Canis lupus familiaris: one gene and its partner. The protein of the gene in region 1 interacts with the protein of each later gene in a pairwise test. Links are inferred from orthologs where the notes say so. Each region holds a gene or a part of one and is shown on either strand. Other genes may lie near its edges.

Evidence for each region.
Region 2: the proteins of UBASH3B (region 1) and DOC2A interact in binary tests that used the Homo sapiens proteins (3 or more experiments, as listed by UniProt). The link is inferred for Canis lupus familiaris from reciprocal best matches to the Homo sapiens genes UBASH3B and DOC2A.

Annotation. Positions count from the first base shown.
Region 1 is NC_049226.1:11,544,743-11,548,388, forward strand, and holds part of UBASH3B (ubiquitin-associated and SH3 domain-containing protein B), read right to left. Parts: intron 1,944-3,646; coding exon 1,814-1,943; intron 481-1,813; coding exon 360-480; intron 1-359. UniProt on the Homo sapiens protein: Interferes with CBL-mediated down-regulation and degradation of receptor-type tyrosine kinases. Promotes accumulation of activated target receptors, such as T-cell receptors and EGFR, on the cell surface.
Region 2 is NC_049227.1:18,208,104-18,211,849, forward strand, and holds the start of DOC2A (double C2-like domain-containing protein alpha), read right to left. Parts: upstream 2,776-3,746; 5' UTR 2,461-2,775; coding exon 2,417-2,460; intron 2,132-2,416; coding exon 1,854-2,131; intron 1,480-1,853; coding exon 1,400-1,479; intron 1,178-1,399; coding exon 1,103-1,177; intron 996-1,102; coding exon 886-995; intron 1-885. UniProt on the Homo sapiens protein: Calcium sensor which most probably regulates fusion of vesicles with membranes. Binds calcium and phospholipids. May be involved in calcium dependent neurotransmitter release through the interaction with UNC13A.

The DNA.
Region 1 (3,646 bases):
CCAGTCTTAAGACATGCCACTCAAATGAAATTGGAACCAAAATTATCCAGGGTGACTTAATGGAGGAAATTCTGGCCACAGAATCAGGACACCTGTCTAGGCCTCTGCCAAATGACCATGGGCAAGACATTTGCCTTCTTTGGTCCCCGGTGTCCCAGTTAATAGAATGGGGACAAGGACACTTTCCCCTTCAGGTAACATTCAAGACCATTAGGAAGGACTTACATTGTGGCAGATTATAGGCATTTCCTATAGCTCAGAGACCATAAAGGACTCCATCTAGACAAATGTAGCTGGACTGTGCCCCCCAGAGGCCATAATAGGTATGCCAATGCTAAGCAGGTCAACTAACCACTCACCTTTGGCATCAAAGCACTGGGATAGCCAGTACTTCCCGAACACAACATCCATCCTCTCACCATGCCGACACACAAAGAGGCATCTCTTTTGAGGGCCGGGCTGGCTACTGACCCTCAGAGGCTGCAGGGAAAGAAAGGCTATTAGTGGGGGAAGCACATAAGAAAGTGAACATGTCCTGGAGCCAGGTGCCAGATGAACAGAGCTGAGCTCTAGAACAAATTCTACCAGTGTAGAACAAGGGCAAATCCCATAACTACCTCGGATTTAGGTTGGCCTGTCTGTAAAATGGGGGCAGTAAGACTCATCCTACAGACCTCACAAGTTATTCTGAGGCTCGAATGAGATGAATTGCAGCTGTTTTGCAAAACCAGAGGGTTGCAAAGACCGTCTCACCCTTGCTGTTGCTGTGGTGGTTAGAAGGAGTAGCATTTGGCCAGTACTAAAACGTGAAGACCACTTGAGTTATGGCCCAGAGGGAAAACTAGCCAGTATGTACAGCCAGCCATCTAGTCCTCCCCTAAAGGGATACTTCATCAACAACTTCAGGGAGCAAGGACTTTTATCACAAAACGGTCTGCCTCACCTCTAACACATGGTGGTTAGACCATCTGGCCCCATGGTCTCCCCGAGCTTTGAGTATCCTGATCTCACTTTTGGCGCTGTCGTCTGACTACATGCGTTGTTGGTGTTCCCAGAAATGGTTCAGGAGGACAGTTGCTCCCTCTGAGTGATGAAATAGGCCTGTCTAGTCAAAGGCATGTCCAAATGACTTTGGATTCTATCACTGCTGGGTGGATCCTTATAGATGTTTCTATGTTCCTTCTTTCCGATAGTTGGCTATTCCCAGTCTCGCTAGTGTGGCCAGCACTTTACATTTGTGGCCGGTTAGTTGCCCTGACAGGGTTAATATGTGGGATAGAGGGATGATCTTTCCTGCTTCTTTTCCCATTCTCCTCTGATTCAAGCCCTGGGCTCCAAGCCAACGTGATCTAGTCTCTTGATCCTTAACTTTCCTTTGTCTTGGTTGTTCAGAACGATCCCCACCCCCACTCCTCCCTTCTGTAATGCTCCTGGCATATATCGAGCCCTCAGACATACGTGAGCACTCACCATGTGCCAGGCACTGTGCAAAGGGCCTTTTTTTTTTTTTTTTTTAATCTCACACTGACCTCTGAGATAGAACCATTATGACTTTACAGATAACACATCCTCCTCTTTGCAGAGCCACCTTCTCTACCAGCCTAGACCCACACGTGGTAGATGCTGCCAGGACCACCTACATGGCTCTTCCTAGCCTTGAATTCCTATGTATCTTTTATGATTTTGTGCCCCTTTCTCCCCCAAGAGATCGGGGACCCTTTGGGGCAGCCAGGGCAAGCCCTCCTGCTTAGCAAGTAAGTGCCCAGTGAATCCTGAGTAGAGTTGAGGATGTGACCCCGCTGGTCAGTGTTACCTGCGTGGGCTGGCAGATGATAGTCAGGGGCGCCGTCTCCCCCAGAACCTGGTCCTCATACTGCCGCCTCTCCAACATGCCATCACCAAATGAGAGAGCGTTAGATGCTGTGTTTAAGATCGAGTAAGAACTGCAGGAGAAGATAAGAAAGATGGTGTCTGTTTTAGGTGGAAGTCATCAGCAAGTCACCCTCGAGGTCCATGGGACTGCAGGCGGTAGCAGGACCCAGGCCCTGGGCAGGGCAGCTGAGCAGAGGACACCCCGTTTCTGGAGAGGAACATCTTGTTTCATACTGCAGCCTTGCACTCACTAAATGAGGGGTGGATGGATTTCTGTACTTGGAACAGATGTGTTCGTCTCTCTGGGCGGGGAAGGGACCCTGATTTTGTGCCAATCAGCATGCCACAGGCGTGCCTGGCGCCGAGGCATGTTAAAGAATAATGAGTTATCAATTTTGTACCATTGTTTCCAGCTACTCCTCTGGCTCAAAAGAAAAAAAAAACAACAACCACCCAATCCCTGTTGCCTTTAATTTGTCCATGGTGACTTCCATCGGAACTGACAAATTAGAGGATTTTTACTATCGCTACCACTTGGCCTGCGGGTCCTAATGATCAGGGAAGCCTTGTGGCCACTCTCCCCCATTCCTCTGTCTTCACTCGCCCTGCCCTTCTCCCCATCGTAATAATACCTCCAACCAGACGATTAAGTACAGAATTATTTCAGAGGAGGCCATTCTCACCAGATGTAGAGAGCTGTGAGCCAAGAACTCTCATCTCTGGGTGTAACACTAACTACAGAAGCCCCAAAGAGGTCTCGCTGACAGGCAGCAAATTATGCCATGTTTAAATTACTTTGATTAACAGGGCCTCCAAAAGGCTTTATCTAATAAACACTGCAATTTAAATATGGTCATGAGGCAAATCCAATGAACATCTCCTTCTGCATCACCGAGCAGTGTTCAAAGGAGAGCATTTACATTTTAGATTTCCTGCTTCTTTAGAACTAGGGGAGCCATTCATTCCAGTTGGCTCAGCCCAGTCCTGGCTTGTACCTGTTGACCTCATCTGTTCAGGTATATTTAATTTTAACACGGTAGTAGTCCTTGAAATTCAGCTTGGAAAACAACTTTTTATATTCAATATAATAAAGCTAAGTGGTTGTCAGGAAAACATCTTTTTAAATGCTATGATTTTTAATAACTTGGGGACTCTGAAGTGTCCCCCTCTGTAACTGTATACAGACTCATCCTACTTAGACACGAAGGTTTCAGAAGCCTCCTGCCCTGAAAACGAGACATTTCAGCCCTTGCGCGCATCAGAGTCACCGGGGAAGCCTGGGCCCGACTTGTCACAGATTGTGATTCAGCAGATCTGGGGTGGGACCTGGGAAGCAGCAGCCTAACAAAGCTGCGTCAGCAAGTGTGATGTGCAGCCCAGGAGACCTGCTGAAAAAATTAAGCAACTGTAGACCAAGAAAATCTAGTGCCATTTGCACAGTCTGATAGACAGGCGTTCTCTTTGCAAACATCACCATTAAGGAAAATTCAGTTTCACTGTCTGATTCATCAAAGCCTCAGGACCTGAAATGTCTGGATAGATGGAGTAGTCTTGACATCTTGCTTGTACACGTCCCTTAATTTCATTGCTTTGTTATAGCTGTGAAGACACTGAAGAATCCCTTCTGTCTCTCTCCCTCTCCCTCTTCTTCCACTCGGTTGGCAAGGAGAATGCCAACCTCCTTCTCGACTGTCATCGTAATCAAAGGACCTGACTCACTCTGAGACAGTTGGGTGCTGTCAGTTCCAATAAGACAATAGTCAGAGGCTTTATG
Region 2 (3,746 bases), on another chromosome or scaffold:
TCCACTTCTGGCACCTACTAGCTTCCTGTGTGACCTTGGCCAAGTCATCTCCCTATGCCTCAATTCCCATCCATAAAATGGAGATAGGAGTACCCACCTCCATCAACTGCCAGGATCAAGAGAAATAGATGTAAAGAGGCAGAGCCCAGCGCTGGGCACCCGTGAGTGCTCAGCTACTCAGGCCTAATGCTCTCACATCAGAAAGGTGGGCCAGACTTTCTGCCTCACTACCAGCAGGGTGACCTCCAAAACAACCCTGACCATGCCCCTGTCCCCATGCGAGCCCTCCCCCACTTTCCCCATTGCCAAGAATACAGATAAAGCCCTGGGTTATGGTCCCCTTCACTCCAGTCTCTGGTCTCCAGTCGGGGACTACAGCCCCCACAGCTCCACCTCCTGGGATGATGGAGCACGTTTCCTTCACTCCTTAGCACTGGATGTTAGGGGGGCACAGGCAACAGAAGGGGCAGACATGTCGGGGCTCTGAGGAGGGCTCTCAGAGACCAGGGAAAGCTTCCAAGAGGAGGCACAGCCTCAAGTATTGAATGAATGGTATTTAGGCTGGCCAAGAGAGGGGGGCACTTTCCGTGTAAGAAATATAACAGGCAAAGGTCAGGCTGATTGAACCTGGTCAGCCTGAAGAAGTCAGTCTGAAGAAGTCCGTCCTCTGCTGGAGCAGCAGTAGGAGGAAATGTTTGGGGGGCAGGAATGCCAGGGAAACATTTTGGCTTCCTGCCAAAGGGGATGGGGAGCCAGTGATTATTCTTGAGCATCTGAGAAGGGCTTAATGGGAAGCAGATCAACCAACCAAAGAAGGTGCCAAAAAGAGCTCTCAGAGGAGGTACTGACTGGAATCCTCAGGAACAGGGAGAATGGAGCCCTCACCTGAGCACCTTGTGGGTGATATCATCATCCGTGATCCCACTGTATGTCAGGTCCTCATTCCAGACAGGATTCAGTGTGTTCCTCTGAGTCTTAGTTTTTAGCTTATTGGCCTGAGGTGTGGGGACGAAGATTCTCAATATATGTCCCCCAGACATACAGAGCCTGAGGGCAGGGGAAGGGTGGGGACAGACCCACCAGCTGGGTCAAAGGCTATTACCTTGCAGGCTCCAGGCAGCAGGTGCAGCTTGACGTAGGGGTCAGCAAGGCCATTGAAATCCATGGGCTTGAGGCCCTGCAGAGGACAGAAGGAAAGAGGGCTGCAAGCTCCCAGCCCTGCTGCCTGCCTCCCTCCCTCCCTCTGCAGAGTGGATCCTTGGGGTGTGGAGAGTCAAGAAGAGGGGTGCTGGGGGACAAGGGTCGGGGGAAGGAGGACAGGTCCAAACCGGACACCTGGAACCCGCCCCCAGGGTGGGAGGCACACAGGGCCAGAGCTGGGGAGGCAGGGAGTGCCCACCTTGGCCCTGAGAATACTACAGTGCAGAGTGCAGGAGGCCTGGTCGTAGAGAAGGTCGAACTCCAGCATGCCCAGGGCGGCTGGCAAAGAGGGAAGAGGTAGCGTGAGTCCTGAGTTGATGTGTAAGGCAGGCGTGTGAGAGACCACCGGGCAGGCGGGCTGTGGAGCCTGTGGTGCTGGCGGGTGAAGGTGTGTGCCTGTCGGCAGCGGCTGTCAGCCTGCGAGCCTGTGCGCGAGTGTCTGGGTCCCTGGCTGGGCCGCAACTGGGGCTGTGTGGGTGGCTGAGTGTCTCAGCAGAAATATTGAATATTGAGCCTTTCTGAAACTGTAATCTCCGCCCCGACTGCAGCTGAGGCGGCAGTGCCCGCCTCCCCCAACACGCGTCCCGCAGAGCCCCGGGCCCCAAAGCCCCCATTCAGCCCCCGGGGCCCTCCATCCAAGCCCCCAGACTCACTGGTATCATCCGAGTCGTAACTGTCCACCTCAGCTCCGTCCTCGGGTGTGGTGGCCCCAAGGAGGGCTGCAGGCGGGGCCAGGGCCAGGGGCGCCAGCCGAGCAGGGGCCTCCCTGAGATCTCTGCCCCCGCCTTCTGGTCCCAGTGCCCGGCGGGGGAAGTAGTCAGAGATCTGCCGGATGGGCCGGATGGGCCCGGGGCACACGTTGATGGCCATGTGCTCCTGGATGTTGATGGTCATGCGGTCGCCCCTGCGGCCCCTCATGCAGCACCCCTGGCTGCGAAAAGGATGAGAGGGAGGTCCCAGAGAGTGTGAGCCCCAGGTGGATTCTTCATACCTGCCGGCTGTTGGCAGACGGCCAGGCGGCCACCTCCCCAGCTGGTGGGGCCCTCCCGGGCTTCCCTGCCCAGGTGTCAAGGGAGAAGGTGGCCTGTACCAGCCCGCAGGCAGACAGGAAGCCTGGGCCCCCCAGACCCCTGTTTTGCTCCCCCCTCACCCCCGCCGGGCTGCCAGCCCACTCCCCCAGGCAGGTCCTAGCTCCACCTCAGCCGTGCCCACATACCTTTGGATGGTCCCGGTGTCATCTTTCCGGCTCCTGGCCCTCATCCCGGGATGCCCTCCGCCCCTGGGCTCCTGCCTCCCTCGGAAGCAGCCCCACAGGCACTGTCCATCCCTCTGCACCAGGCGCTTGTCTGGCCCAGGGGGCACGCACCCCTCTACGCTTTCCCTGCCCACTGTCCTTCATGCAGCCGCGGGATCTGCCCGCCTGCCTGACTGGCCCCCCCGCCCTGCAGCCCAACGCGGGGACCCCTGCCTCAGATGCCTCCTCCTGAGACCGGCAATTCAAGACGAGCCAGAAATTGCAGCCTCCAGGGAGCTAAACACCCCGTGGGCACACAGGCTAACACGCACGCTCGCCCTCACCCTCACGCCCCCGGCGGCCCAGCCCTCTGCACCTGTGTCTCTGCCTCCAACAGGTGCCCAAGCACTGGGGGGACGGCGGGGACAGGCTGGGCGGTGGCGGCCGGCGATTCCCGGGGCGGCCAGCGAGAAGAGCGCGGAGTCCGGCGGTGAGAGCCGAGAGGGAGGGAGGGTGAGCAGGAGAAAGTGCGGGGAGGAGGGGGTGAGCGAGGTGGAGGCGAGGATGCAGCCGGCGCAGGCGGCGGGGGGCGGGGAGGGGCGGCCGGAGGCTGGGGAGGGGGCGGGACTCTCCCGCCCGCGCCCGCCGGGCACACTTAGGGGCGCACGCGAGTGCGCACACACACACGCACACACACACGGGCACTCCCGCGCACACGCCTGCGCCCACGTGCGCACGCTCGCACACATGCACTAACCCACCCCGGAGAACTTCGCGTGCACACACTCGCGGACACACGGGCTCCCTGCGCCACCGAGAAGCAGCGGCGAGAACTGCCCGGTGTTCCCCAACTCCCCGGAGACCCCGGGCCCCCGCCCCTGCCCCTGCCCCTGCCCCGGCACCGAGCCCGCGGCGCCTCCCTCCCCTGCGGGCTCCTCGCTTCCCCCACCCCGGGCCTGCGGGACCCAGACCACCCGCCTGGTTGCCATGGCGACGCTGCGCCTCCTCCCTCCTCCCCGGCCCCCCCCGCGCCTCCTCACGCCCCTCCCCCACGGACAGCGCCCGGGGGAGGGAATAGGTTGTTGGGCCCTCCCCTCCCCAAATCCGTAGGGGCGGGGCTTAGAGATCCGCAGTCACCCGGGGTGGGCCGGGGGACGGTATCCGATCCGCTCGCGCTCGCTGGCCTGGGACCCTGGGGGGCCCTCTCCCCGCCAAGCCGGGCTGGGGAACCTCACAGTCTGACGGAGGGGACGGGTCCGAGGCTGTGGCTTCCCCCACGCCTCTTCTCTGGGGCTGTCCAGGCCTCTCTCCT